Linked DNA regions of Diceros bicornis minor. The protein of the gene in region 1 purifies or fractionates together with the protein of each later gene. This does not show direct contact. Links are inferred from orthologs where the notes say so. Each region holds a gene or a part of one and is shown in the gene's direction. Other genes may lie near its edges. The genes, in order: XIAP, XAF1, SIVA1 and RAC1.

Region 1 (7,021 bases):
TTCACCTCCACCCTGCCCTAGACACACCATGACAACACCTCGACCTTGACATTGTTGTTGGATTATGGGAGTTTTGCAGACTGACTCGATTGTGTATAACCATAGGAATAAATTAGTATATAGAAAGTCCAGATGGGATTTTCGATTAGCTTGAGAGGAGAGTGTGCTCTTCTGTCCCCACTCCAAACAAGAACAAGTCTCTTCTGTATGATTGGGTCCCTGGAAGATAAAGGCAGAGAAGGGAAAGGGAGGGCTGGCTGAGCCCCTTGCGTTTTTCAGGCACAAGATAAGGGCAGGCATCTTTATGACTGCTCAAAGAGGGGAAGTGACAGTCGCAGTCTTTGTGGCAGCAAGGCGGGAGTGGAGTTTAGGGATCAAGATATCGGAGCAGAAGTCAGGAGACTGAGGGGCAGGTGCAGCCGATAGATGCTGTTCAAGATGAGTGATCTTCACAAAGGCTGTTCTCTGATAATGAATTAAGAGTAATCCTGTGCAGATGTGTACCCCTTCCCACCAGAAGAAGGTACATAAAACTGAATGCTCGGAGGGCAAGGTGTGGGAGTCAGTGCTCACCTCTCCTTCCTTCACTCGAAACAATTCTGCCTTTTATCTATTTTATTTATTTGGGCTTTCACTTATAACTGCTTTTGCAAAAAGTGTTCTAGTGCTAAACCTTTGCTGTTTCCCTCAGCAGATAACTACACATTTTACTTTTCATACACTCCAGCTGCCATTGAGGTGTGGTGACCACCCTTGAAATTCTTCTCTGTCTACATCTCACGGCCTTTAGCCTCAACCAAAAACAATTACAACAAAACATCATTGTACAGATAAGAGTAACCTCTCCAGGGATTGTGTTTTTCTGACTTCACACCTCTATGTGTCCCTGTATATAAAACCTAGACACCATACCCCAGATATATCTGTCTTTGCTGTTCACACCTCCAACCAACAATTCATCCAACAAGTATTTACCAAGGGTCTGACATGTTTATGAAATTTTTATTCACTCACTCAACAAATATCTTCTGAGTACCTACACTGTGCCCACTGTTCTATGCACTTGGAATAGATCAATGAACGAAATAAAGATCCCTGTCCTCTTGGAGCGTATATTCTAGCAGGTGTGGGAGGGAGGGGATATACAATAAATAAACGTAATAAATAAGAGAACCATATAGTATGTTAGAAAGTAATACAGGCCATGCAAAAAGGAAAAAGGAGAGCAGGGAAGGAAGATTGGGAGTGCTAGGAGAAGTTGTAATTTTGAATGTGGTGGTGATGTTAGGCCTTATTGAGAAGGTGACAATTAAGCAAAGACGTTGAAGGAGGTGAAGGACAAGCCATGGAGATATCTGGGAGAAGTGTTCCAGGCAGAGTGAACAGCAAGTGCAAAGGCCCTGAGGCAGGAAAGCTAAAGGAACAAGGAGAAAGAGTATTAGCAGATGAGGACATCAAGGTAAGAAGGATCCTGATTGTGTAGGGCTTTTTTATTAGTTATCTATTGCTGGGTAACAAATTCCCCTAAAATTTAGCTATTTAAAACAACAATACACAGGAATTCAAGAGTGGCTTGGCTGGGTGGTTCTGGCTCTGGATCTTAAGAGGTTACAGTTATCTGAAATCCGGGCCTGAAGAATCCTCTTCCAAGGTGGCTCACTCACATGGTTGACAAGTTGGTGTTGGCAGTGGGTGGTATAGGAGGAGATATGGAGAAGGGGAGGACTTAGTTTTTCCCTGTGTGGGCCTCTCTACATGCTGTTTGAGTATCCTCATGACTTGACAGCTGGCTGACCCCAGAGCAGCCAATCCAAGAGAGAGCAAGGCAGAAACCACAATGCCTTTTATGACCTAGCCTTTTAAGTCACATGCCATCACTTCCACTGTATTCTACTGGTTACACAGGTCAGCCCTGGTTCATTGTAGAAGAGAACTATCCAAGGACACGAAGAGCAAGAGGTAACGATCACTGGAGATCATCTTGATGGCTGGCTACAACAGCCTTTGTGGGCCCTTATAAATCTGTTGCTTTCACTTTGAGTGAAATGGGGAGCCATTGAAGGGATTTGAGCAGATAAATGACAATGATCTGACTTATTAGGATAACTCTGGCTGCTGTGCGAATAGACTGGAGAGGGGCAAGGATGTAAGCTGGGAGACCAGTGAGGAAGCTTTTATGTCCGAGAGAGATGGACTAGGGCCATAGTGGTGTTGATGAGAATTGGTGATATTCTGAATGTATTCTGAAAATTGAGATGACAGGATTTGCTGATGGATTGGATGTGGGAAAGGAGAGAGGGGAATTAAAGATGACTCCAAGCGTTTTGGAGGAATTACAAAAATGAGTTAGACATAGATCTTGCTATAAATGAACTTACAACATAGACGAGATAAGGCATATACACAAGTAGCTATACTACATGGCAGAAAATACTGTGCTCCGTAACACAGGCACAAATTCAAGTGCCAAATAAGATGGAAAAGTTTTGGAGATGGATGGTGAATGTACATAATGCCACTGAACTGTACACTTAAAAATGGTTAAAACAGCAAATTTTGTTATATACATTTAACCACAATTTTTAAAAGATGTGAACAAAACCGAAAGAAAAATTCAAGTGTGAAGAGAGTTCAGAGGAGGAAGAAGAGATGACCTTTGGCTAAGGGAAAGCTTTGAAAAGGGGCAGTTGCTTCACCTCACAGAGTGAGCAGTTTGAACAAATTAGTGGAAGGCAGGAAAGCTGGGGATGGGCAGGGCACAGTGAGTAGTTCCACTTTGTTAGAAGATAGGTAGGGGGCCCAAGGGGAGAGTGAACAAGAAGTCAAGAAGTTTTAACATTATTCTGGAGGCAGTGTTGAAGGGTTAACTCAGATGGACCTCTGAAGGTTGGACTGCCGGGGACCGGTCTAGGGATAGAGAGGCCAGTTAGGAGACTGGGTAATGGTCAGATCCACCTGTAATCTGACAGATCTAGATTTGAATCACTGTTCCAGCTCCCACACATACTAGGGCTGTGACTTCGGGCAAGCCACCTAAACTCTCTAAACCTCAGTGTCTTCATCTGTAAAATGGGGATAATGATAGTTACATATTTTATAAGATTGCTGTGAGAATTAAATGAGGTAAATATTTGCAGTTATTATTATTGCAATAAGTCATATGTGAGATTCCCAGAGCTGTGACAATAGGAGAGGATCAGAGGGGATAATATCTTAGTGAAAGTCTAAGAACCAAAACGAAGTCTTTCCTCTCCTTCCAAGTTCCCTTTTCATGAAGGGCAGCATCATTTGAGGATGCAGGTGATACTTACGATTCTCCCCTTGAAATGAGACATTCTCATTCAGAAACTCTCATCTCACTACACTAGCCTGTAAGGGAGCCCAAGTTTCTAAAACAAAATTCATCTGACAATCCTACAGCATATTTGAAATAAATCCAGGATGTGATCAGCATTGTATGTACACAGATTTCCTTTGTTTCCTTTCTTTCTGCTTTCCTTCTTCCTTATTCATTTTCCCTTCATCTCCCAATCCGCTTTTGCCCCTACTGAGTGTCTTCCTTTCTTTTTCCTTTCATCCTTCTCTCCTTGGAAGTGGATCATATTGTCATCTCAGTTCCCCGTTTACTAGCTGGGCGCTATTGGGGTAGGTATCCTCTCTGGGCTTCAGTTTCCACTGTAAAATGGGTTTAATAAGAGAATGCCTACCTCACAGAGTTGTCAAAATTACAACAAATAACACGTTATATGCCTACCACAGCGCCTGGTCCATAGCAAGAATTCAATATGTTCGCTCTCTTTTTCTTTTCATCCTTTTACCTCTAGCATGCCCCTACTCATCAACCCCAGGGCCCAGCAGGTAGAAACCGTGGGAAAAAACGCCTCGAGGCTGAAGGAGGAAACGCGTGAGCTGGAGGCGGGGACTGCGAGGTGCCCACTGCGCCTGCGCGCCCGCTCCGTCAGGTTCTGGTTGCCAGCTGGGGGGTCGGGCGGCCGTGGGGAGCTTGGTTTGTCCTGGCTGCCCCCCCCCTCCGGCCCGGGGAAGTGGCAGGACCTCGGCGGCGCCCTGGGCGGGCTTCGCGCTCATCGAGGGACGCGCGGGCCCGGAGGGTAAGCTGGAAAATGGCGGAGGGGGAGGGAGGGGCTTTGCAGGGCGGGAGGCTGGCCTCCTGGCGGGCGCAGTGGGAATGAAACGGCGGGGGCCCAGTCGCGCGGCCGGGGCCGGGAGACGGACGGACGGCGCGCGGGGGCTCTTCGAGGCCCTGCCGCGACCGCGCTTCGAGCGCCCTGCCTCGGGGCTCCTCCGGGGAGTGGCCGGCTGTTGGGTGCGAGTGAGGGGGACGACGCGACTTCCGTTTCCCTCTAGGCTGGGGCCCGGCCGCCGACGGGAGTTGGCGTTTCCAGATTGGGACTTGGGCCGCCCCTCCTCCAGGACCCTCCCCTCGCGACCGCGAAGGGCGCCGCGGGCGATCCGGACCGGCTCTCCGGGCGCAGTGGGTACTGCCCGTGCGGGCTTCCTCCGCCCCCCTTCCTCCTCCCTCCCCTCGGGCCCCGCGGTGCGAGGGAGGGCGAGGAGGCTGCCCCTGCCCGGCGGGGCTGGCCCGACCGGGGCACCTTGCCCGGGTTCCGGGGACTGCTGAAGGCAGGCGTGAGTGGGTGGCTTCAGGCCGGCCGGGTGCCTCCCTAAACCCGTGACCCCTAAGGTAAACCGAGTCAAAGAACTTTTTTTTAGTGATCAAAGGGGCCGCCCCCTCCCCACTCCCCATCTGATGCCTGTGGCCCGTACGGGGCTGGGTGGAGTGTGTCTGGCGAGGGCGTGTGAAGCCGAAAGAATAGGAGCCAGAGAGCTTCCGGAAGAGGAAACTAGCTAGTATCTAATTCTTTGCAAGCTTTGCTGCCCTAGTCATCTCCCCAGCATATTCTGTGAGTAAAACAAAATTCAATCTAACTTTCAGTTTCATTATTTGAACTCCATAATGCACTTAATTGTATTCTTTTCGAAGGAGGGGAAGTAGTTATTGCAGAAACTAAGCAACAGTCTTCTCCCCCTCCAAAAAAAGAAAAACATCAATCAAAGCTTTGTAAAAACCTATCAGATTTTAATAATCTACTACTTTGCTTTCAAATATAATTGTGTCACTAGTTCTGTCACAACTATGCCTTGATAGTTAATGACGCATAGAAATTTACTCTTGTTAAGACTGGAGGTTGCTATAGTGTGTGTTTCTTCTCTTTTTTTTTTTTACTTAACATTTGTTACAATCAGTTCAAGAGAGCACTATTATTACAGACGGCCATCTTAGAATTACAACATTTTAGAGTTGGAGGGGATGTTAGTCCAACTCTCTTATTTTACAAAAGCAGAAACTAAGGCACAGGAAGATTTCATGGCTGGCCTAAAGCTACTCGACTATTTAGATTAGAACCCGGGTGTCTGGCTCCTTTCTCACCACTCTCTGCGAAACTGGTCTACATAGCCTCCAAGCAAGAAAATTAAATGTATTCAGCTCAACGCACATTTCTGAAGCCTATGCCACTTTGTGCCATACAACTGCGCTACTACTCTCAATATATTTAACATGCTTATGAAGCCAGTGCCTGAGATATTTTTCCCTATCATTCAAGAAGTGGCAACAGTTCAGGTTAAAAAGATTTATCCACATGCACACATGTATACAGTACTTGTATATGCTCAGATAATTTCTCGAAGGATACATGAGAAAACTGTTAACAGTGGTTACTTATAGGGGCTAGAGAGAGAGGTAGGAGACTTTTTACTTTGCACTTCACATGTGGCCTAATGTACTGTTTGAATTTCTTACCATAAAGTATTGGTTTTATAATTAAAAACAAGTTGTAAAGTTCACACGCATATGTATATCAATGTAAATAAGTATATGTCAATGGTATGTGTCTATGTATTTATATACATATATGTATTTATGAATGAGTAGTGGTTTGTGTTGTGAAATTCAGTGTGGTTCATGTCAGCCCAGCTGGCAAAGCAGGCCTGAGTATTGGCTGCTCACGTTTCTTCTTTGGTTTTCTCCTATTGGTCCTAATGGAAGATGGTAAAAATAATATGTTACTAGTCTTTACATATTTTTAGAAAATGTGCTAAGCTTTTGATTATCGAACAATGTAGCAAACTGTAACATTCAGCATATCAAATTGGACACAATAAAAACTGAATGTAGAATCTTTGTGGATAAGAATCATTTTAAAAAATTAAGGCTGGAAAGATCCCTGGTGATTAGTAGTTCAGCTCTTTTGTTTTTATTAAGTTAATTAGGACTCAAAGAAAAAAAAAATGAATTGTCCAAGATTATATATCTGATTATTAGCAGAGCTTGGACTAGGGTCAAGGTGCTAGTCCAGTGCCCCTTGTACTGTAATTTGCTCCTTGTACACCTGTAATTTTATTGCTTTCTTGTGCATTTGATGACTCCAACTAGGTGGACAAAGTAATGCTGACTAAAGGTTAGTCAGGCCCATTTCAGTAGATAAGAATTACTGTAATTAATGTACTAGTTAATTTGTATAGTGCTTGAAATATTTTAGTAATGTAAATGTTCCCTTCACATTTGGTTGTAAACGTTAATTTATTTAGTAAATCCTTTGTTTATTTTATAAATGCTTGGAGACCCCAAATATGAAATAATGATATTTCACTGTTTTTGTTTGGTCTCATATTTCAGTCTGGTAGCTAGTGCTAACAGGAAAAAAAGGCTATTATTTAGTATTTTTAAAAAACATTTATTGAGCACCTACTATATGCCAGGCATTGTACTATGTGGTAAGGTTCCAAAGATGAATATGGCAAAATAGATGCCCTTGTTCTTTTGAGGCTGGGAGATTATCGTGAGCTATCTGTTCTCAAGCTTTATCTCTGTGGTCTAATCTGGTAATAGTATTATAAAATGTAATCTGTAGCACTGTTTAAGGTCATTGTTTGAGTAGATTTGAGGAGACAAAAACAGTAATGGTAAATAAGAAGTTGATATTGAATTGAACAAATATTA
Region 2 (6,880 bases), on another chromosome or scaffold:
TCTAATTAACCCAGACACGCATCCTTCACATCCATTCAGGTTGGCCAGTGTTTGCCCACCAACGCACAGCATAGCGCTTCACTGCCTACTAAGCACAAGGCATGTGGGTCCCTCTGGCAGAAAGAGCCTGGTGAAAGAGGTGATGAATCTCAAATTGTCTACACCCATAGTTGAGTGGGGGCAAGTTGGGGCAACAAACAGACAAGCAACTGACCATAACCAGAGACAGAGGAGGGAGGTCCTCTACCAGTGACCGCATTGGAGTTGGACTTGAAGAACTGGTGGGATTTTGATATGTAAGGGAAGGGATGGTGCAGGGGTGGACAGTCTGGAAAGAGAAAACATCTTGGAAGAAAATTAGGGCAGAGATGAAAAAACTCATAGTCCTTTCCAATTCCACCCCCATGGCCCTGTCCCTGATTCCTGCGCTCTGGGACGCCCCACCTGTGCACCGCTCTTTTACATTTCTACCACCCCCCTCCATTCTGGGGGATCCCAGCAGGAGACGAGGTGTGAAAGCTCAGTTTTTTTCGTTATTGTGGATATTCACAAGACTGCCTGCCCCGAGATAGACAGGAGTGCGAGGCAAAGGTCCAAGAGATTAAGGAATTTGCCCAGCTGATGAGGAAGGGAGTCAGGATGCTAACCGGGGTCTCCCCCACCACCAGCTGTCTAACAAGGTGGACCGTGTCTTGCTTAGACACGTAGATCCCTGAGTCAGATCAACCTGTTTTGAATCCCAGCTCTGGCACTCGCTGTGTGACCTTGAGCAAAGTCCTTAAACTCTCTGTGCCTCCGTTTCTATAGGTGCAAAATGGGGCTAATAATAATTCTTGTGCCAGAGCTGTTGGGCAGATTAAAAAAAAAAAATTAATGGAGGCTGGCCTGGTGGTGTAGTGATTCACATGCTCTGCTTCGGCAGTCCGGGGATCGAGGATTCAGATCCTGGGCACAGACCTATGCACCGCTCATCAAGCCACGGTGTGGCAGGTGTCCCATATATACAACAGAGGAAGAAGGTCATGGCTGTTAGCTCAGGGCCCATCTTCCTCAATAAAAAGAGGAAGATTGGCAACAGATGTTAGCTCAGGGCCGATCTTCCTCACACACACGCACACAAAAATTAATGCCTGTAAAATGCTTAGCATAATGCCTGGGACATGGAAAATGCTTAAGCCTTCATTGGCTATTACCTCTTATCCCTCTGATCATTATGATTACTGCCCACTGTTCCTCATTTGGTGCCTGAATTTTACAGTCTGGCAGGAGGCTGGAGCCCGTCTGGCCTAGTCCTTAATCCCATTATCCTCCTCCGAGGGGCCCCCATCCCATCTGCAGACTTCACAAGAATTCTCTCCTCCTGCCTGTGTCATCGCTCCTCACTCATCATTCAGAGCCTTTCTGTTAGCACAGCTGCTTCTGGGGTCTGGGAATGCTCTGAGGACCCCGGGGGGGATCACACTAGAGTAGGTCTATCCAGTGGGCGGATGGGGGGGTATGTAAGCAGCCTCCACATCCTGTTCCCACATCCCTGAAGCACCCCATCCAGCAGGCCACCACCCCTTCTCTTCCGGTGGCCTCCCCTGGGCCTGCTTGGATGAAAAGCTTGTCTGCACCTTGGCTTATGTGGGCTTTCTTGTGAGCTCACCCACAGGGGACATGAGAGCTTGGCATTCACCGCATCCTAGACCCTCCCAGCCTCACTCCTGGGGCCGAGTCCCCTCCATCCCTGACGGGTTCATCGAGGGACAGGGTAGTGATGGGAAGGAAGCTCAGGGCCTCCGGAGATTTCCACCAAATGATCCCGGCTCTCCCCTCGGCAGCAACCCAGCCCATCTTTCCTCCATGAGCACCAAGTGTCTGTCCCCACGCTGCACATCTCTACTTCTGGAATTTTCAATGACGCTCATCTGCCCCCATCCCTTTAGTCTTCAGATGGAAAGCCAAGGGCCAAAGGCTTAAATCACAGCGCTGGCCCTGCAACTTGGAACCAGCCTTTTCCTCCTACACCAGTGGCTCCTGGCTTCTCTGCACGTTAGAATCACCTAGGACCTTTCAAAACCCCACAGTCCCACCTGGACCAGTGAAGTCACACTCTCTGGGGTTGGGCAGGCATCAGTGGATTTCTGTAAGTTCCCTAAGCGATTCCAATGTGTGGACAAGTTTGGAAGCCACTGTCCTCCACCCCAGCACCAAGAGCCCCGACAAATGGCCAGGCCCCAATCTAGGTGCTTTGCGTGTTACTCATCTTTGCTTCATGATTCCTTTTTGCTTTCTGACATTCTGAACATCAGGAGGGACTTCTTCATGTATTAGTGAAAAGCTGCTAGGTATTTATCAGCTGTTGTAAAGTTGTGTATATGGTGTGCTCACTAAAGTTGAAATAAATTAAAATGCTTAGATACATGTGCAAGACTACAATCAAAATTCTCCAACTACACACTAATATCTTAACTGTGTTTATAAACAATAAAGGTGATTATTGAAGCTAATTAAAGATAGGCTTGATTTTTTACAAATAAAATTCTGGGAAACAGAAATACATATTAAATCCTCTTAAAGAATTTCAATATGAAGTATATAATATCCAAATGTTTCTAATGCAGTTGCAATTATCTGCATATTTTTAAATTCTCATTGAGCTATGTGATACACTGTTTCATCATTTTTATTTATCTAACGAATTGCACCCTGCTTCTCCCTGTGAAAAGAACACAGGTAGACAAACAAATCTCCTCTGTTCACTTGATTCAATTATGCACATATAATTTTGGACATGTGTTGCCTTTAACAGAACTTGATTTCTTTGAATCTCAAAACTTTGGGTCAATTTGTCCAGTCATTTATAACTGTCCGGGTCATGGACTCCTTTTGAGTGTCTGCTAAAAACATTGGCTCTTTCTTGGGAAAAGGCACATACATGAAAGCAATTGTGCACACAATTTCTGGGAGCATACAGACTCCTAAAGTCCCCCAGTTCCCCAGTTGAGTCCAAAAAATGAAGAAACAGAAGCCCAAAAGGCTGAGGTCACTCAAGCTGCCAGTTAATCAGGATTCGAACTCTGAGCTCCCAACCCTATGGCCATTGAGGAGAGACAGGCCGGGGGCCACTTTGCCTGGGTTCAAAGCCTGATTCTCCTGCCTCCTGGCTATGTGACGTGTGCAAGTCACATCGCCCCTCACTGCCTCGGTTTCTTTATCTGCAGATGGGGATGATGAAAATAGAAGCTTCCTCACTTGTCTGTCACCCCGTCAGCCTTACAGCCATGTTTGCTGTAATTATTTACAAGTGAGGGAAGAGAAGCTCAGGGAGCTAGGCTGTTGCCCTAGGTCACCAAGCTACTGTGTGATGTGGCCTGAAAGCCTGCAGTCTTGGCACACACCACTCTGCATCCCCAATTCCTTCTGGACCCTGTTTTCAAAGTCGTCACCACCTAGGACCAGAGGAGGAGACAGGAAGTCCAGGAGCTGCTCTCAGGAAGCAGCCTTCCAATTCAACACAGCAAGCCATGTCTCTCCAGCCGAGGAAGGACCAGCAAGAGGAACAGGAGAGGGGAGTTCTGTGGAAGTGTTCTGTGGAAGGGGATAGAGATACTCAGAGGCAGTGAAGCCAGCCTGGGTGAGAGGAGGGGCTGCTGCCCAGGGGAGGCCTGGCCTCTGGCTCCCTTCCTCGAGGTCGTAGAAATGGTCAGTGACAGCAGCACGGGGTGACAGCACAGGCAGGCGGAGGCAGTGGGGGCAGGCTAGGCTGGCCAAGCTACAGACGGGCTTCCTGGGAGTGTCCAGCTGCAAGAACCTTGGAGCAGCCCTGGGCTGGGAATTCTGAAAAACCCCTCCCTCCCCAGAGCTGTGGGCCGGGTTGTGGGAACACTTTCAGTTTTGTTTTCTAGTCTGCGAGAAACAGAAACTCAACAGGAAGACTGCGGAGACCAGAAATGGAGGGGGCCTTCCAGGCATGCAGGAACTGGTAAGAAGTGGCTTTCCCTAGCTGTGGGCCTGAGGCTGGCTGGTGAGAGGGGCAGCAGGACAAGGCGGCTTCTGAAGTGAGGAGAAAGGGTCCGGACATTGCTATGGGTGGGACGGGGTGGGCACTGTGCCCCAGGTAAGAAGGTTTAGACTCAGTGGATCTCTGAGATGATGAGATGGCAAGAGGTGGGCAGCATTACCTTAATATCACTGAACCCCGCCCCCTCCCCGAGATATTTTAGACTTTCTGGGACAGTCCTAATTCAAATAGCCAGGCTAATTGTCCCTGCTGGGCTACTCAGGCTTGTCAGATCTTGGGTCCTAATTTGTGGTTCTGATCACCAAGTCTTCACACCGGTCTTTGACAGAAAGGGGCCCACGGAGGTTCTCCAGGACCGTTCCCAACCTCTCCTTGAGAGGGAGCTGTGGGGCGGGGTGGGGTGAGGGGGACAGAGGATCCTTCCCAGAGAGCTTTGCTCCAGACAGACCCTCCTGGCTCCCTGGTGTGTGGACCAGCTCAGGAAGAAGAGCAGAGGGGACGGGGCAGGGAGAGCAGAGAGAGAAAGGGGCCAGGCCAGGCAGGGGGCAAGAACAGAGGAGGAACGGGAAAGTGGAGAAGGCTTGGTCCATCTGGGCAGCGCAGAAGCCATGAGCTTGTTCAGATCAAGAGGAGTGAGGCTCTGGCTGCTCCCCTCTGGCCACATCCCCTGTGCCAGGGCCTTGGGGGTGCAACTCTCATCCTCACTGGGGCTTTAGGGCTGCAGCCTCTGAGTTTCCTTTCTCCCAAGCTGCCACAAGCAAGAGCTGATGGAAATGAAAGGAGGCATTTTGCAGTGAGGAGGAGGGTTAAGAAACCACCTGCCCGGGACCCGGGAGGCTCAGAAGCTTCTGTTCTTTGGGGTCTTCAAGAAGGGCCTCGGGATCTCTCTGAGTTGCACGGGTCAGCCTGGAGGCAGGGCATCAGTGGAGGCCTCAGCTCTCGGAGCCGTGGGAAGCTCTCGCTGTGGAGATCCTGAAAGCCGGTGTTGCCCTTGCAGGGGGCGTGGGCGTGGCGGGGCTGGGTTCCCAAGCAGCCGTGTACCACGCGGGGGAGCACTTGAAAACAAGACAAAATACTGGAAGGAATTTGATATTTGTTCTTTCGCTTTTCAAACAGCTTTACCAGGGTACGATGGACATAAACTGCATTTATGGTTCATTTTTGAAGTGTACTATGTGGCGCATTTGGCACGTGTATATCCCCATGAAGCCATCACCACAGTCAAGATAGTGAGCCTGCCCACCACCCCTAGGTCTCCTCAGGCCCCTGGTAATCTCTCCTCCTGCTCCCTCTCACCCAGCCCCACTCGATCCGGGCAATGTGAGAGCTTTGTGGAGCGTCCTTACACTTATTTTATGATTTTGTGTTGTTCTGAATGGGGAGCAACATGGGGAGGGGGCATCATCATCATGTTTTCAATGCTTGAGGCCTCGAAGGATCTTAACCCAGCAGCCCGGGTATGAAATATGACTCCATGTTTTATGCCAAGAAGTCAGCTTGTTTTCCTTCCCCCTTTGCTCCTGCAGCAAAAGAAGCATGGCCCCTGCCCACTTGGCCCTCCACGAGGCCCACTGCCTTCTGTTCCTGGTCCTCTGCCCGGAGTGCAAGGGACCCGTCCCCCTGGCAAAGAAGGAAGAGCATTGTGAGAACGGGCACCAGCAGGTGAGGAGGCAGAGGTGGAGCGCGGGGAGGCCAGCCAGAGTCTAGTCCTCGCTGCAGTAACTTGCTTGGCTGGTAGGGGCTAACCATTTAGCCCCTGCACGCCCCAGCCCCCGTCTGTGACGTGGAGATGGTGACTCTGCCTTTCTCACACTGAACTGAGTCTACCCCGCTTTTCCCATTCCCAATCCTTTCCCTACAGGCTGATGGGTTCGGCCAAGACAAGGGGTCCCTGTTTCAGAAAAGGTTGAATGTTCTTTTGAGATTTGTGAAGAGGGGAAGCAGGAAAGGAAAGTTCTAGAAGGCAGTCATGGCCAAGGCCAGTCAAAGGCTGACTTTTCTTTCCTGCTCTTTCATGTCAGTCCCTCCTGGGGTCCCTTTTCTGTCTTTCTGATTCTCAAGCTCAGGCATCCATTTCAACTCTGTGGGTCCCACAAACACTTCTTGCACACGGGCCCGGTGCTGCAGAGAGCCTGAGGAGCCACACCTGATCCCCACCCCCGAGGAGCTCACAGACCCGGACCTAAAACACATGAACTGAGGCAGATGTGGGGAGAGGCAGCAAGAGCTGGGTGGGAGCTGCATTTCTCTCTGTGTTTAGGTCTGGTGTGCGATGTGTCAGCAGAGCGTGCAGAAGCACTTGCTGGAGTTTCATGAGGTGAGAGTCCAGAGTGATTTCTCCTTAACCGCCAAGCAGCCAACCTGGGAGGAGAGGAAGGGCGAGGAGGGGCCAATAATCAAGATTTCCACTTGACCTCTCTCTTCTCACCCAAGTCGGCGCGGGGAAAAATGGAGAACTAGCCCGCCACAGGAACACAGGTCCTGCTGTCCCCTAGATGCTGGTCAGAAGGGCTTGCCCCGGTCCATGAGCCCAAGAGAGCTGTATTCCCAGAGGAGAGTGCCCCCTCTAGCACTTCCCATCGGCTTTCTCTTATTGGCCTCAGTTCCTAGGGAAATAAGCAAATATCCCTATCCTGACCAACAGGGCTGCAGTCACTGCAAGCCAGTGACCATGCCCGTCCTGCCTGCCTCCCCGCAGGCCACGGAATGCCCAGACCGCCCTGTTGAGTGTAAGTTCTGTAAGCTGGCCGTGCGCCTCAGCAAGGTGGAGATCCACGAGCACCACTGCGGCAACCGGACAGAGCTCTGCCTACACTGCGGCCAGCCCATCATGCTCCGAGAGCTGGCCCAGCACACGGACGTGTGTCGGGGTGA
Region 3 (7,353 bases), on another chromosome or scaffold:
CGGCCCCGTGGCTTAGCGGTTAAGTGCGCACGCTCCGATACTGGTGGCCCGGGTTCGGATCCTGGGCGTGCACCAATGCACCGCTTGTTCAGCCATGCTGAGGCGGCGTCCCACATACGTCAACTAGAAGGATGTGCAACTATGACATACAACTATCTACTGGGGCTTTAGGGAAAAAAAGGAGGAGGATTGGCAATAGATGTTAGCTCAGAGCCGGTCTTCCTCAGCAAAAAGAGGAGGATTAGCATGGATGTTAGCTCAGGGCTGATCTTCCTTAAAAAAAAAAAAAAAACAGCCAGTTATTTTACCAGCGAAATGAGTTTATTCAGGAATAGCAAAAGAATTGCAGTTTGGGATATGCATGCTATGGCAGAGCATAGACAAATCCAACAACCAAAGGAGAAGAATGTTATTTTATAGGGAAAAAGGAGGAAATTGGGAGGGGTTGCTTTGAAGGAAAGTCCATCTGAGAAAAGCAAGAGTTCAGGGTGGTGACGGTTGCTCATTGGCTGAGCTGCTGGGGTCATCGATTTCTATTTGGGATGCAATATACATTTCTTCCTATAATTGATGATTCTTTTGTATTGAGGACTTGTGTTAGGGTCTGTAATGACTATTCTCCTTTCCTGTAATTGACCAAGAGTGGTACCGCATGGGAGATCCCCCTTCTGGCCTCCTGACTCCGTTTTATTTATTTATTTATTTATTTTTAGCATTTCTTTTCTTTTCTGTTTTTGGTGAGGAAGATTCCCTGAGCTAACATCTGTGCCAATCTTCCTCTATTTTGTATGTGGGTCACTGCCACAGCATGGCTAAGTAGTGGTGTAGGTCCATGCCTGGGATCCAAACCTGTGAACCTGGGCCACCAAAGCGGAGCACACCTAACTTACCCACTACACCATGGGGCTGTCCCCTGACTCCATTTTAAATGAGGTTTACCTATATTAATTTTCACAGTATATATATCACACCAAACTCTTAATCTCAGGTCCGTGTGCCTGATGTGCAGTAAGCCAATCACTGAGACACTGGTGCTTGGAGGTAGAGGAAGGTTTATTCAAGTTGGCCAAAACAAGGAAGGAGAATAGGTTCTCTCAGATCCACCTTAACAAAACAAGGAAGCAGGGGGACTTTATAGGGCTAAGGGGCTTGGGAGGTGGAGTTTCAGGAAAACAAAGGGGAAGTCCGTGTTTCTTTCACTTCAGATAAGACCTTGAACAACTAGACTTCTTGGTGCCAGTGGCAGCGGGGGTCGGGTCACCTGGTGGTCATAACTTCCTTAAAGGCGTTCTTTTTCTTCTACCAAACAAGCTCATAATCCTTGTGACCACTAAGTCACCCCTCTGGTTAAACAAGAAAACAGCAAATTGACAAGCTATAATGATGTGTGATCTGTGAAGCAAGCATTTGGGCTCAACAAATACGTATAATGGGGATTGAGGTTCTTTATCTAGGTTTTTCGTGGGTACTAACTTCTTTTCGTCTGTGGCTGTGTTGGGAATAAGGGTAAAGGGTAACCATGTTCTTATGGAGTATTTACAGTAGCCCTCAGGTACCCTTCACATACACCACATTTTCTTTACCCATTCGTCTGTTGGCAGACACTTAGGTTGTTCCCTGTTGTCTTGACATGAGTACAGCCATGTTTGGCCGCTCCATTGACCTATAGCCACCAGCACACAAAGAAATACAAAGTGCTTTCTGTGTGGTGGGAACTGGCCTTTTCCCGGAAACTGGCCTTTCTCCCACGGAGAGAGTTGCAAGTTGTAACATTTCAAGGCTCTTGGAGCGTCGTAGCTCGGAATGGACTGGTCATCTGTGCCGGGCTGAGACGATAACCAAAGAGAACAATGCATGTACACAACTAGTGGGCTGGGACGTTAGCCAGGGGGCTCAGTGCACGTACGCCACTGATAACTATTTTGTGCATGGAAACACTAAATGCTTGCTCTGCAAACTCTGTAATTGCTTACTCTGAAAATTACTGATGGTATAAAAACTGCTGGAAACTGAGACCTAGTGAGAGTTCCACCTGTGGAAGGGACACCTTGCCCAGGACGTGTGATCCTTGCCCAGCCGCGTCGATTGACAGGGCTCTCCCGGCAGTGGGGCGTGGATGTTGTGAGTAACTGATTTGGTGTGAAGTAATTGATTTGATATGAAGTAATTGATTTGATGTGTTCTCTTTTCGGTCAACCTGGTGTTTCTCTTTCCGGTTGATTTGTGTCATTTCTCTTCAGCCGATGTGGGTGTTTTCCCTTTCCAGTCAGGCTGATGTTTTTTCCCTCTTAATATTTGACCTATTTGGATCTGTTTGCAGACTGTCGCCTTTACTATCCTCTATATAATAAAATATACCTTCGGTCCATTTGTTTGGAGTGGAAAGTGTCTTTTACGTCTCCGATCGAATCCCCGAACCTTTCGTAACACCTGTCTTGGCTATTGTGAATAGTGCCACACTGAAGGTGGGGTGCAGATATCGCTTGGAGATCCTGTCTATTGCCTTCATATACCAGAGGTGGGATTGCTGGATCACATGGTAGTTCTATTTTCAATTTTTTGAGGAACTGGGAAGTAATTAAGTTTTAAAGAGCTCATACAGGTGGGCTCTAATCCAGTAGTACTGGTGTCCCTATAAGAAGAGATCAGGACACAGCCACGCACAGAGGGACGACCGCGTGAGGACACAGGGAGAAGACTGGTGTCTGCACGCCCAGGAGAGAGGCCTTGGGAGGAACCAGCCCTGAGACACCCTGACCTCAGATCTCCAGCCTCCAGGATGGGGAGAGAGTAAGCGTTTAAGCTGCCCCATCTGGGCACTTGGTTACGGCTGCCCTAGCAAACTAATACAGCACTGAGTGTGGGCCCCCGACACATACTTCTTAAACTGAAATTAGATTGGGATGTAAGAGATGACAAGATTCTCTTTTAATCACCACGTTTTGCATCTATTTGCTGTGTCTTAAAAGATCCTAAGGCAGTTTCAAATCCGAACACAAATCTTAAAAAATCCCCTAAAACTAAAAGCAAGACTCCCGGGCATTCATCGATTTCCGGGCTAGGACAAACCAAGTGTGCGTCTCCGCACACGGGGCTCTAGAACCGCGCACCCTCAAGTCGTCTCCCTGAAACAGGGCAAGCACGATGATGCCGGCGACGCGGCGACGAGCCCCCGAGGAGCCCCCAGCGGCCTGGCCCCCCAGGAGGAGGGGCGCCCCCCGGGAGGGAGGCGGCGGGGCGCGGAGCACAGGCCGGCCCTGCCCGCGCCTGTCGCCGCCGAGCACTTTGCCGGTGGGACGCGGCATCGTGAGTGACGCCGCGTCGTGCGTGACACGGGTGGCGCGGCGTCGCGTGCGGCGTGGACGTCGCGTGTGAGGCGGCGTCGCGTGTGACGTGGACGTCGTGTGACGCAATATCTTGTAAGACGCGGACGTCGCATGTGACGCGGTGTCGCGTGTGACGTGGTGTGCAAGAGCAAGGCATCCGGCCTTCGTCTCAAGAAGTGCAGGGCACAGAGGGGCAGGCTGAACGACAAGGCCGCGTCCGCCTGGCAGGCGGGAGCCGGGGGTGGGACGCGACGGCACGAACCCGCTGGAAAGCGCACCGCCAGGCCACGGAGGCAAGCTGGGCAGAGAGCGCCTGCGCAGGGGCGACGCGTAGCTCCGTCAGAACACGCCCGGCGCCCGCGTCGCGGGGTCCGGACGTGACGGGCGTGCTCCGCATGACGCGGCGGGGCCAGGAGCGCGGCCGATGACGTGACCCCGGGGCGTTCATACGTCACCCTCCACTTCCGGGAGGGCTGGGAATTCCTCCAAATTAAAAATTAGGAAAAAGTGAATCATCCTAGAATTTTGGTGATTTAAACGAGGAAATATAACCAGTTTCGACAGTTGTTTATGGACTAAAAAAAAAAGGTGGGACACCCCACGCCCTCCTGCGCCATCACGCCGACTCTCTACTCGATGTCGCCCTCGGCCTTTCCCGCGCCGCCGAGCCCCGCCCTCCGGCGCATGAGCCCCGCCCCCGCCCTCGCCCATGGCCTATCCTGCACCGCGCCGCGCGCGAGTCCCGCCCCCGTCCTCGGCCTCTCCCGCGCCGCCAACTCGCCCCGCCCCCGACCTGCCCACTCCGACACTCGACCTAGCCCGTGGCGGTTCCCGCGCCGCCGAGTCGCGTCCCCGGCGCACGAGCCCCGCCCCCGTCCTCGCCCCCGGCCTATCCTGCGCTGCGCCTCGCACAAGCCCCGCCCACACCCTCGCTCCCGGCCTATCCCGCACCGCGCCGCACGCGAGCCCCGCCCCCGTCCCGCGCGGGACTTGGCGCGAGGCTGTGACGTCACGGGTCGCGGCGAGGCGCGGCTGGCGGGCTGCGCCGCTCCGGGCCGCGGCCATGCCCAAGCGGGGCTGCCCCTTCGCGGACGCGGCCCCGCTGCAGCTCAAGGTCCGCGTGGGCCAGAGGGAGCTGAGCCGCGGCGTGTGCGCCGAGCGGTACTCACGGGAGATCTTCGGTGAGTGCGGGGTTGGGCGCCCTCGGGCGACGCGGGCCCTGGGCGGGCGGTCTCCGCAGGCCGCGGCCCCGGGAGCCTGGAGGCTGCGGGACCAGCCGTCCGGCCGGGGCTTGGGAGCAGTGAGTGGGGCCTGAATGCGTCCACGTCCACCCGCGCTGGCCACAGGAAGTGTCCCTGCCCCTGGCGCCCACTGGCCCCCTAAACGTACTGCCTGGGGGCTCTGTCCTGCGGGAGGTGCTCGACCAGTGACCAGCCCTGGTCTCGTTAGCACTAGGATTCCTCAAGCCCAGAGAGAGGTCGGGGAGCGGGACGTCCTGGGTGGAGTAAGCCGGCAGAAGTACCCATTCCAACCTCAGAGGTGTTTGTGGAGCGCGCCCTCCCTGCCAGGCACTGTAGCGCGCGGAGACCTTGCCTGGCGGGAGCTCCCCGGTCCACTGGGGGACCAGCAGGAGAAGGAATCTCCAGAGGTCATCAGGGCAGACCCCCCTGCAGGGGTGTCAGAGGTCTCCTGGAGGAACAGAGACTAAGCAGAACCCTGCAGAGTGAGTAGGAGTTAAGGCAGGCAGAGAGGGAGAGAAGGGGAACTCCAGGGAGAGGGAACAGAGTATGCAAAAGCAAGGAAGCAGGAGAGCGCAGTAGGACTCGGTGTGGCTGGAATGTCCCATTCAAGGTGATGTGTGAGTGTAGTGAGCTATCGGAGGGCTTCTCATCTGGCTTTCTGACGCAGATTTTTAGGTGCATCGATATTATTGATTATCAGTTTGGGGTGACTAATACCCTGAGGCAGCTACAAAGTGGAGTTTACTTACCTAGTGGTTGGGGGCACAAGGTTCACCCCCATGGCCGAGTTAGGAAATGACCTGGCTGTTTGTAATGGAGTGGTGCTGCTGTGCTTTGGGCATGTGGGGAAGAACCCAGCCTCAGGAGGCCCCAGTTCTCTTTCTCCTGCTGCTCCCCCCATCAGATAAAGAAGAGTGAAGCTGTGGGGACTGTGTGCGCCCCCATCAGCATGTTCAAAATGTGTAAACACTGAGCAGGCAGAAAGAAGAGTTAAAAACGAACGGGACTCAGTCTAGCTCTTCACCCTCTCCCTTGACCACATCATCCTGGGGCGTTTACAGGGGCTTGTCACTCACAGGGCCCTGTCAGGGAGAGTGCTGGGCCCCCTGGTCGTTCAGTAATCAGAGCAGGACACCCAGTTTGAACTCATGTGTAACGAATTCCAAGCCCAAACCCTGGCCTCCTTACCTTGAATGGACTAGAAGCCCTTGAAGACAAGCATTAGCAGTCATCACGTGACTGCCCCCATTCCCATCCCATTATAATTCCTTCCTGTGGGAGGAGCTGGGTGTGGCAGGGTCATCATCAGCCACTCTGTTTGAGTTACCTGATAACTGTTTTCCTGTCGATTTCACATAGAGCCAGTAGCTTCTGGGATCTGCACCCGGGCTCTGTTGGGACAAGGCAGAAGAACACAAACAAAGCATTTCTGGGGCTGGCACCAGGCATTTGGTCCTGTGAAAGCCCCTGGGTGACTGACATGTAGTCCAATGAAAAACCACTGCTCTGGGTGCTGAGCAGCCACTTCACCTCCAGGGGTGGGAGAGTGTCCACGGCCCAGAGAGGTCTGGAAATTTTTGGGATACCTTTGTCAGGAGCTGGGTGCTGCCTCATCTTTTGCCAGCAGCTCTGCGGGAGGGGAAGAGGGTGCACACTGCCTGGGGGTCGCAGGCACAGCTCTGAGCCTCCAGCTGTGAATTAGTGCCTCACAGCGCAGAGCTCCCTCTGTGCCATACATAGCCGGCTTGCAGGGTGCTGGGGAGGAGAGGAACAGCAGTGAGGTGAGGCCGCTCATCCAGAGAGCTTTGTGGATAATGAGCAGAGTGACAGAAGAGGGAGCCCGGCTGCAGCTGTAGGGTCCAGAACTTTCCTGCAGGAGGTGGCAGCTGAGCCTAGGAAAGGAGAGGTGGGAGGGCAGAGTGGGGCTCAGCTCACCAGGGAGCAGCATAGGCCAGGGTGACGTGATGACAGAGCACGAAGGAGGCCTCACCATGCCCAGCTTGCAGGACAGACTGGCTATGCGAGGGCTTCCATGCTGCAAAGGTGTAAATGGAAGGAATGATTTGTCTTCCCCAGAGAAGACCAAGCAACTCCTTTTTCGAGGGGCCCAGGCCTACATGGACCACGTGTGGGAGGAAGGCTGTGCCATTGTTGACCTGCCGGAGTCCCCAAAGCCCAGCCCCACGGAGGCCTCTCGGGCTGCACGTGGGCAGATGCTAATCGGAGCGGACGGCCGACTGACCAGAAGCCGAGCCCAGGCCTCTGAAGCTGGTGAGTGAGGCTGACAGCCGGCACTTCACAGCTATGTGCCCAGGATGGATGTGGCAAGTGCAGTTCTCTGCATTTGTGACACTGTCTGCCCAGGAACTTTACCTTCCCGGGCAGGCAGGAGCTGGGCCCAGAGTCTCAGGAGCTGGGTGAACACCGGAAGTCTCCTGACATCAGGAGCCTCTGCCGCCATCCAAGTCTGGGCATTGTGAAACAGCTTCTAACTGCGAGATCAGAAAAGGAGCACAAACCCACCTGGGGGTCCCACCTGCTCTCCACCTGCAGCTCCCCCACACAGTCCCGTCCAGGTGGAACCCTCCCGATTAGGTCCCTGTGCAGTGTTGTGTGTGTCTCAGACTGTCACCCATGCCGCTGGTTAAAAACCACAGTCTCCGGCCCAGCCCCGGGTCTGGGTGGGGCCCAGGAACCTCTTTGTTAACTGGTGGCGCAGGAGCCACGGTTTGAGGCACAGATGCTAGACACACAGGGTGGAGGCCCTGAGGGTTCTGGTGCAGGCA
Region 4 (7,403 bases), on another chromosome or scaffold:
TGGTTTATGGCCACAAAGTTTCCCTGCTCCAAAGTGGGCTGGTCATACAACAGTCACCATCCCTGGCGGGGAGGGTGTTAGATCTCTGCTGTGCTAGATCTCCCGTTTCTGCTTCTCATAGCTTCTTTTGGTTTATTTCCTCCTACTGGAAGAACACTTGTTCCAGTAGCTTCCTGGGATATGGTGTGTGGGAGGTAAAATTTTGGAGAACTTACTTGTCTGAAAATGTTCCTATTTTACCCGCCCACTTGATCAATAGTTTGGCTATGAGTAGAATTCTTGGTTGAAAATTATTTTCCTTTGGAATCTTGAAGGCATGGCTCCACCAGTGTAACTGCTGGGAAACTTGAAGCCATTCTATTTCCTGTTTCCCTATGACTTGTGTTTTCTCTTTGAAAGCTTGTAGGCTATTATCTGTCCCCATTGTTCTGAAGTTGCACAATGATGTACTCTGGTTGGGTCTATTTTCAGTCACTGGGCTGGCACTTTCCATCAGTAAACTCCTGTCCTTCAGGTCTGGGAAATTTCCTTAATGTTTTTGTGGATGTTTTCCTCCTTTGCTTTTTCTTTGTTCTTTCTTTTCTATTATAGGATATGATGGGGATGGTTGGACCTCCTGGGCGGCTTCTCTAGTGTTCTCACCATTTCCTATTTTCTATCTCTCCACGTCTTTTAGGTTTTCCGAGAGATTTCCTCAACTCAGCGTTCCAACCTTTCTTTTTTTTTTGGTGAGGGAGATTGGCCCTGAGCTAACATCTGTTGCCAGTCTTCCTCTTTTTGCTGAGGAAGATTGGCTCTGAGCTAACATCTGTGCCCACCTTCCTCTATTTTGTATGTGGGATGCTGCCACAGCATGGCTTGATGATGCATCGGACCGCGCCCAGGATTCGAACCTGTGAACACTGGGCCGCGGAAGTGGAGTGTGGGAACTTAACCACTATGCCACCAGGCTGGCCTTCTATGTTCCAATCTTTCTGTTGAGTTTTTCATTTTTGCTAGCTTGCTTTTGTTTTTGTTTTTTTTAATCATCTGGATGTTCCTTTTTTAACAGCACTCCCTTCTTATTCACGAATGAATTATAGTCTCTTATCTGAAGACAATGATAGCTTTTTTTTTTTTAGGTTTCCTTCTCCTTGCCCTGTTTTTGTTTTCCCCAAATTTATTTATTTGGATTATTATTATTATTTTTTTTAATTTTCTTTCTTTATTTTTTCCCCCAAAGCCCCAGCAGATAGTTGTAGGTCATAGCTGCACATCCTTCTAGTTGCTGTATGTGGGACGCGGCCTCAGCATGGCCAGAGAAGCAGTGCGTCAGTGCGTGCCCGGGATCAAACCCCGGCCGCCAGCAGCGGAGCGCACGCACTTAACCACTAAGCCACGGGGCCGGCCCTATTTGGATTATTTTGATTTCTAGCTTCCATTCTGGAGTTTTTCCTCATATATCTTTTAATCCTTGGTTGTCTGATCAAGGGTGAGAAACTAAGAGTTAATGGGCAGCTCAGAAGGAGTGGGAGGCTTCCTGGAGCCCCCTCCCCATGTTGACATGTGTTTGGTCTTTCCTCCTGGGCTGGACAGGTTCCCTAGAGAAGAGGCCCCTGACCCTCCACCCTTCTATTCTCAGGGACACTGTCAGCAGGAGCCATGAGGGAAAGGGTTGGGGAGGGTCAAGATTCAGCATAGGGCTACTAAATCCCTTCATTTTTGCTTTGGTTTCCAGGCATCCAAATACCCACTAGTTTACCCCCTCTAGAGAGGAAGCTCCAGTCTTTTGTAGGGGAAGGAGAAGGCGGCCACCTCGTCTGGGGCATGACAGGAGGTGATGTAGACTGCCTGCTGCTGCTGCTTCTCAGCTTTCACCCCATCTTTCTTATCCTCCTCTCCTTTCCACCCCCCTTCCATGGGTGCCAGGTGCTGCCAGTTCCCAGCCCTCCGATGATTCTCTGGGGGTAGATCTGGTGCTGATCAGCTTTCCCACTGCCAGTCTAGGTGGCTACATCAGTTACAACCAGTCTGTCCACACATTCCAGTGTCCAACCTCTGTTGTCTCCTTCCCTGTTCTTTCTGTTCTAGGATTATGTCTTTTAAATTCCTTTTCTGAAGTTTTAGCGGGGTTTTGGGTAGAAGTGAAATCAAATACTTGCATCCAATCCATCATGTTAACCCGGGAATGAATATCAAATGTTCATTTGCCTATTATGCATCTCCCCCACTAGAACGTATGTTCTCTGATGGCAGGGATCTGTTTTGTTCCTTTCACATTTCCAACACTTGGACCCAAATAAATGATCGACCTTGAATGAAGGACCTAAGTAGGGTATATGATTGCATACATAGCAGGCACTTGATAAATAACTGTGTAGCACATTCAGAAACACACATAGTTCAATATTTGCTTTTTTAATTTGAACTTAACTTTTTTGGACCATGTGTTGCCATGGGGCACATTACAAATAGACACTCAAGGCCAACTTTCGAGAAGCTTTAAGTTAACTCAGTTTTAAATTAAAGCTGATTTTCATATGTGGGTTGTACATTAATTGTGTTATTTTATAGTCACAGTCAAACCTCTTGTATGGTGAACTTTCATTTTATCAATCTAGAGAAATAATGATCTGAATATGGTTGTGTCATGTGTTTGCTCAAAAACTCATGTCATATCAGAATAAGTCCACATTCAAGGCAGTCTGTAATCCAGCCTGCAATTACCTGTCTGGATTCTAGACCTGGAGCAGGGCAAATGCTTGCTCCCTCTGCGTCCCACCTGAGGATGGTCCTGAGTCCCTAATTTCCAGGACTTTCTTCTCTCTGTGGAAAACTCTTTTCTTCTTACTCCATCAAGACCCACCAAAAATCCTACCCAGACCCATCTTTCAACTAATCTCTTTGATGAAAGCTTTTTTATTATCATGAATATAGTTTTTTGCCTTCTAGTAAACACCATATTTGTACCCCACTTAGAGCACTGAGCACAGTGGGCCTGATATCCTGGCAACTGTGTCCCCATCTCGTTCATTTCCTATGAGTCCCTTACGCCACAGCAGCACTCAAATGTTTGTTCAGTTGGATTAAATTATTGACCCAAGGCCTCACCCTTTTATTTGCTCCTGGTCTAAAAACATGAAAGTAACTACACTTAGTAGTTTAGGCTTGTCATAGAGTCACTGGAAATTTCTATCAGCAAAGGGGACACTGTTGTTCTCCTATCCTTGAAATTTCAACTCTTCTTTATGGGAGATCGTTATGAACAAAGCAAAAAGGAGGTGTCCTTTGCCCTGGGAACATGTTTATTTTGAAATAATTGCAAGACAAAAATGTTTTTAAAAAAAAACTTGTGTGGAAAAGGTCTGATTTCAGAAAATTGTTACAATACTGAGCAACAGAGCGCGTTATAGGAAGAGAAGGCCTACAAGATGAAAACATCATGGGAAATCAACTCCCCTGGAGGGTCCACTCGCTAACAGAGTTGATGGGAGTGAGCACTGGTTATTACCTTGCAGGAGGACAATGCAGCAACACGTATAAAAAGCTTTAGAAACATTCACGCCTATTAACCCAGTAGGAAACGTAGTCTAAAGAAATAGAGCTATAAAGATTCTTGCATAAACTTGTTCATCCCAGCATTGCTTCTCAAATAGGGACAATTCAACTGTCCAATAATAGAGGAATTGGTTAAATTAAGGTACATGTGCATAATGCAACGAATAGTAAGCAGCCATTAAAAACGTTGTAACGATTCAGCATGATTTCTTACTTTTGTTTAAAACATGTTTGTTATGCACATAAAGAAATAACTGAGAGGAAATATACCAAAATATCGGCATTTCAATGGTCTGCGAACAAACATTATCTCCAGAACTCGGCGCAAAGCAACAGGACATGTAAACGCTCAACGCAGTAAAGACAATTAATTTTCCTGAATGAACATCTCTTATCTCTGAATAATGCTATGGCGTATGGTCTTCTCTTTTTTATAGCTTTAGGTTCCGAATTTTCTAGAAGGACCTCGTCATCACATAAGTTATGGTTCTCACATAAAAAATATAGGTGAACGCCCTTTGCATGGCCTCGGGCTGGAGTTGGTCGGGGACGCGGGGAGCGGGGTGTCTGGAACCCAGAGATCCTGCCAAGGCCGACGCCAGGCCCGGCCGGGGCGGGCTGGGCCCGCGTCTGTCAGAGCGCAAAGATGGCGGCCGGCCCGCCCCGCCGCCCTCCGAGGCGCGCCCAGCGGCTGGAGCCGAGCGCTCCCGAGCGTCCCCGAAGCCGAGAGGAACCCCGGGAGCCGCGCGGGCGGGAGCGGCCCCGCCCCGGAGCCTGGGAGCGGCGGCGCCGGCGCGGGGGAGGGGAGGCCGGATGTGAGTGGAGCAGCCATTTCCTGTTTCTCTGCAGTTTTCCCCAGCTTTGGGTGGTGGCCGCTGCTGGGCTTCGGCTTCCCGTCGGCGGAGGGCGAGGCGGCGTGGACCGCGGCCCCGGCACCCCGCGCCCCGCCGCCCGCAGCCGCGCGCCCGTCCGCCCGCCGCGCCCCGAGCCCGCCGCTTCTCGCCTCAGCGCCCGGCCGCCGCCGCCGCGGCCCAGCGAGCGGCCCAGATGCAGGCCATCAAGTGTGTGGTGGTGGGAGACGGGTGAGTGCGGGGCCGGGCCGGGGGCCGGAGGACCGGGGGTCGGGCCGGGCGGGCGGGCGCGCGCCACGGGCTCGCGTGGGGCCTGGGCCTCTGCGGGGCGGGGGGCGCAGGCCGCCACCCCTCCCCGGGCTCGGGCGGCGCGGGCCTGGTTCCCGCTGGTTTTTTTTTTTCGGTGGGGGAGGGCACCACCGGTCGCGGCCGGAGGGAAAAGTGAACTCCACCCTCCCGCCTGCTCCCCGCGCCGCTGACCGCCGGCCAGGCCGAGCTCCCCCAGCGCCGCCCCGCCGCCCTCCCGCGTCGGCCTGTGGATTAAGTGGGCTTGCAGCGTCGCCTTGTTACGGATCAGGACCCTTCCTTGGTTTTTGTATGAACCTCTCGAGCCCCACTGAGAGCGTCCGAGGGTGGCGCCGGTCGGGTCGGTGATATTTGACGAATATTTGCACGGGCTGGTTGGGTGACCCTTCACTGAGTTACTGGGGGGTGTCTTCCACTTGTACTGCTTCGCCACTTTTAGGATTTTTTAAATGATCATTTTTGCTATTTCCCTGGAGAAACTTCTAAGATTCTCACTGCGAGAAGCTGGGTGTGATTGAGAACGTTCTCTGAACGTGGTGTGGTCATTGAGGAAAAAAAAAGAAAGAAATTGCCTTTCGATTCATGGGTTAGGTATGGGATGTAGCAGAACAGGCTCCCGGAGCCGAGCTGCCCTGTGACTCAAGACATTTCTTTTCATGCCTGTCCGTGGTGGTTACAGGCCCTCGAGGAAGACAAGACTTGTCTTATGCACTTTTTTTCTCCCATAGAAACAAGAATCTCAGTGTAATCCGAGCAAAATTGTGTGTCTCAGCGTTGCTCGAGTAGTTGGGCGTTAACAAGGAAGCTCCAGGAATTACTACCAGTTTCATCAAACTCAGAATGCAATTGGTCCATTTTTTGAGTCTTGTAAAGTCGAAGGAAGAGTTCTGGCATCACTGTTCCTTTTGATTAATAGTCCCCAAACTTGTCATTAGGACTGATGGTGCTTTTATGCCTCTCAGTGAATTTGTGAATTCTCAGCTTTTTTCGGTCATTGTAAGTTAGACGTTTGAAATTGTTTCTCTAACTAATTCAGATGCAGGAAGGACAGTTAGACAACTTATTTATTAAAGATGCTGGTCTGTCGGATTTGTCAGACTGACAAATGTGAGGGATTATTAACCCTTCATGGTTCTATGTAAATAACTAAAAATTGTTAGTTTCACCTACTTAGGAATATGTGTGGTACTTGGTTTTTTTTTAACCTTTTAAAAGGCAGCTTTACTTTGATGTGGGGGAAAATGTCTAATTAGCTGGTTTAACAGTGAAGTCGTTTAAATGAACTTTTGATCCTTTTGCATAATGAATTAGCTAAACACGTCACTTTGTCTTAGGAACATTTTAAATTATCTGAATTTCCTTTAAAAATTAAAAATGCTTAATCAATAATGCTTAGAATATGAAGTAATACTAGTTTTTTAAAAAATCAAATTGCTGATAATTCAATATCTAACCACACACAGTATGTAATATTCTTACTTTAAAATAACTAACACATAAGCACAACGGATATATTTAGTGTATTTAATAGTACTTACAGATTATGGACCTCTACTGTTTGTATTGGCTTGTTTGGTCAAATACTTGTTGAATGCCTACTATGGGATCTGGATCCTTCCTTTAAATCCCCACCTCACCACTTATGGGGAAAACCTGAGGGTATAGCTCATCGCCCCCAGGAGAGGTGCCCCTAGGGGACATTGTGAGGATTAAACAAGATGCTAGATGTTAAGTGCCTCACAGGTGCCTGGCCCCTGCTGAGTAAGTGCCAGCTGCCAGTATCATTATTTCTGTTTCTGTTACTCTGAGGCACTGCTAGGCTCTGTGAAGGGAGTGTTAGGCATGAAACACAGTTCCTGGCCTATTCAGTCAGTTTTTTGATACTATATTTGACACTGACGTTGACTAGGGCTAAGCCATATTAGAAGTGAAATGTACCTTTACAAAAAAAAATTTAAGCTGTATTACTTTATTTAAGGGATGGTATGTAGCAAACAATACTTCAGTGAAAAATCTAGATACATAATTTTCCATGCCAAAAATATTTTTCTGCTTTCCCTCGAATAAGATATATTCCTGGTGACATAGTTGGAATGTTCTTTATTCAAAAATTGTTAATGCTGTAAGTGTGGGTCTAAATTTTGTGGGGTGGAGAAGTCAATGTTGTGGATTTTCAGGCAATTAAGGGCACTTGAAGCAGTGAAGGCAAACTGAGGTTCTACAAATTGCAAGCTTCCTTATTTCAAAAATATTCTTAGAATTATGGTTAAAAGCTATGTCATAACCATATTATAACTACGATCATTCAGCCTATATTCTTCTAATGCATTATTTGCTATATAGCAAATCATTTGGCATTGAGTATGAAATATGAGATAAAATTTGATACTTTTTTGTTCTGTTAATCTCTCTGTTGATTCTAATTCTGTTAGTCCTTCCTGAACACACGGACTGTCGCTTTTGTTTGGGAAACCTCTGCCCCAAGATTTTTCTTTCAGTTTAACTTAGGTAAAACAGCATCTCACATATAAACAATCATTATTAATAGTGTTATTTTGGTTGACTAGAAGGCTCCCTGATTTCACTCCAGATTGGGCTAGTGGTCTCTCTAGCCCTATGTCTAATTTACACGTTGCTCTCCAGGAATTTTTTTGGTTGAGCATGATAAATGCCTTCCATGATGTCATCTTTATAGGAATGTACACCAGT

What was found.
Region 2: the proteins of XIAP (region 1) and XAF1 purify together in Homo sapiens (affinity purification with western blotting; 5 studies listed by BioGRID). This does not show direct contact. The link is inferred for Diceros bicornis minor from reciprocal best matches to the Homo sapiens genes XIAP and XAF1.
Region 3: the proteins of XIAP (region 1) and SIVA1 purify together in Homo sapiens (affinity purification with western blotting; 3 studies listed by BioGRID). This does not show direct contact. The link is inferred for Diceros bicornis minor from reciprocal best matches to the Homo sapiens genes XIAP and SIVA1.
Region 4: the proteins of XIAP (region 1) and RAC1 purify together in Homo sapiens (affinity purification with western blotting; 3 studies listed by BioGRID and IntAct, with this or other methods). This does not show direct contact. The link is inferred for Diceros bicornis minor from reciprocal best matches to the Homo sapiens genes XIAP and RAC1.

The regions. Positions count from the first base shown.
Region 1 is NC_080781.1:113,718,141-113,725,161, forward strand, and holds the start of XIAP (E3 ubiquitin-protein ligase XIAP), read left to right. Parts: upstream 1-4,020; 5' UTR 4,021-4,109; intron 4,110-4,365; exon of another isoform or gene 4,366-4,496; intron 4,497-4,731; exon of another isoform or gene 4,732-4,922; intron 4,923-7,021.
Region 2 is NC_080757.1:13,158,867-13,165,746, forward strand, and holds the start of XAF1 (XIAP-associated factor 1), read left to right. Parts: upstream 1-3,866; 5' UTR 3,867-3,935; coding exon 3,936-3,967; intron 3,968-5,532; coding exon 5,533-5,668; intron 5,669-6,266; coding exon 6,267-6,323; intron 6,324-6,704; coding exon 6,705-6,880. UniProt on the Homo sapiens protein: Seems to function as a negative regulator of members of the IAP (inhibitor of apoptosis protein) family. Inhibits anti-caspase activity of BIRC4. Induces cleavage and inactivation of BIRC4 independent of caspase activation.
Region 3 is NC_080763.1:49,286,964-49,294,316, forward strand, and holds the start of SIVA1 (apoptosis regulatory protein Siva), read left to right. Parts: upstream 1-4,351; 5' UTR 4,352-4,389; coding exon 4,390-4,507; intron 4,508-6,643; coding exon 6,644-6,838; intron 6,839-7,353. UniProt on the Homo sapiens protein: Induces CD27-mediated apoptosis. Inhibits BCL2L1 isoform Bcl-x(L) anti-apoptotic activity. Inhibits activation of NF-kappa-B and promotes T-cell receptor-mediated apoptosis.
Region 4 is NC_080765.1:8,894,348-8,901,750, forward strand, and holds the start of RAC1 (ras-related C3 botulinum toxin substrate 1), read left to right. Parts: upstream 1-4,398; 5' UTR 4,399-4,584; coding exon 4,585-4,619; intron 4,620-7,403. UniProt on the Homo sapiens protein: Plasma membrane-associated small GTPase which cycles between active GTP-bound and inactive GDP-bound states.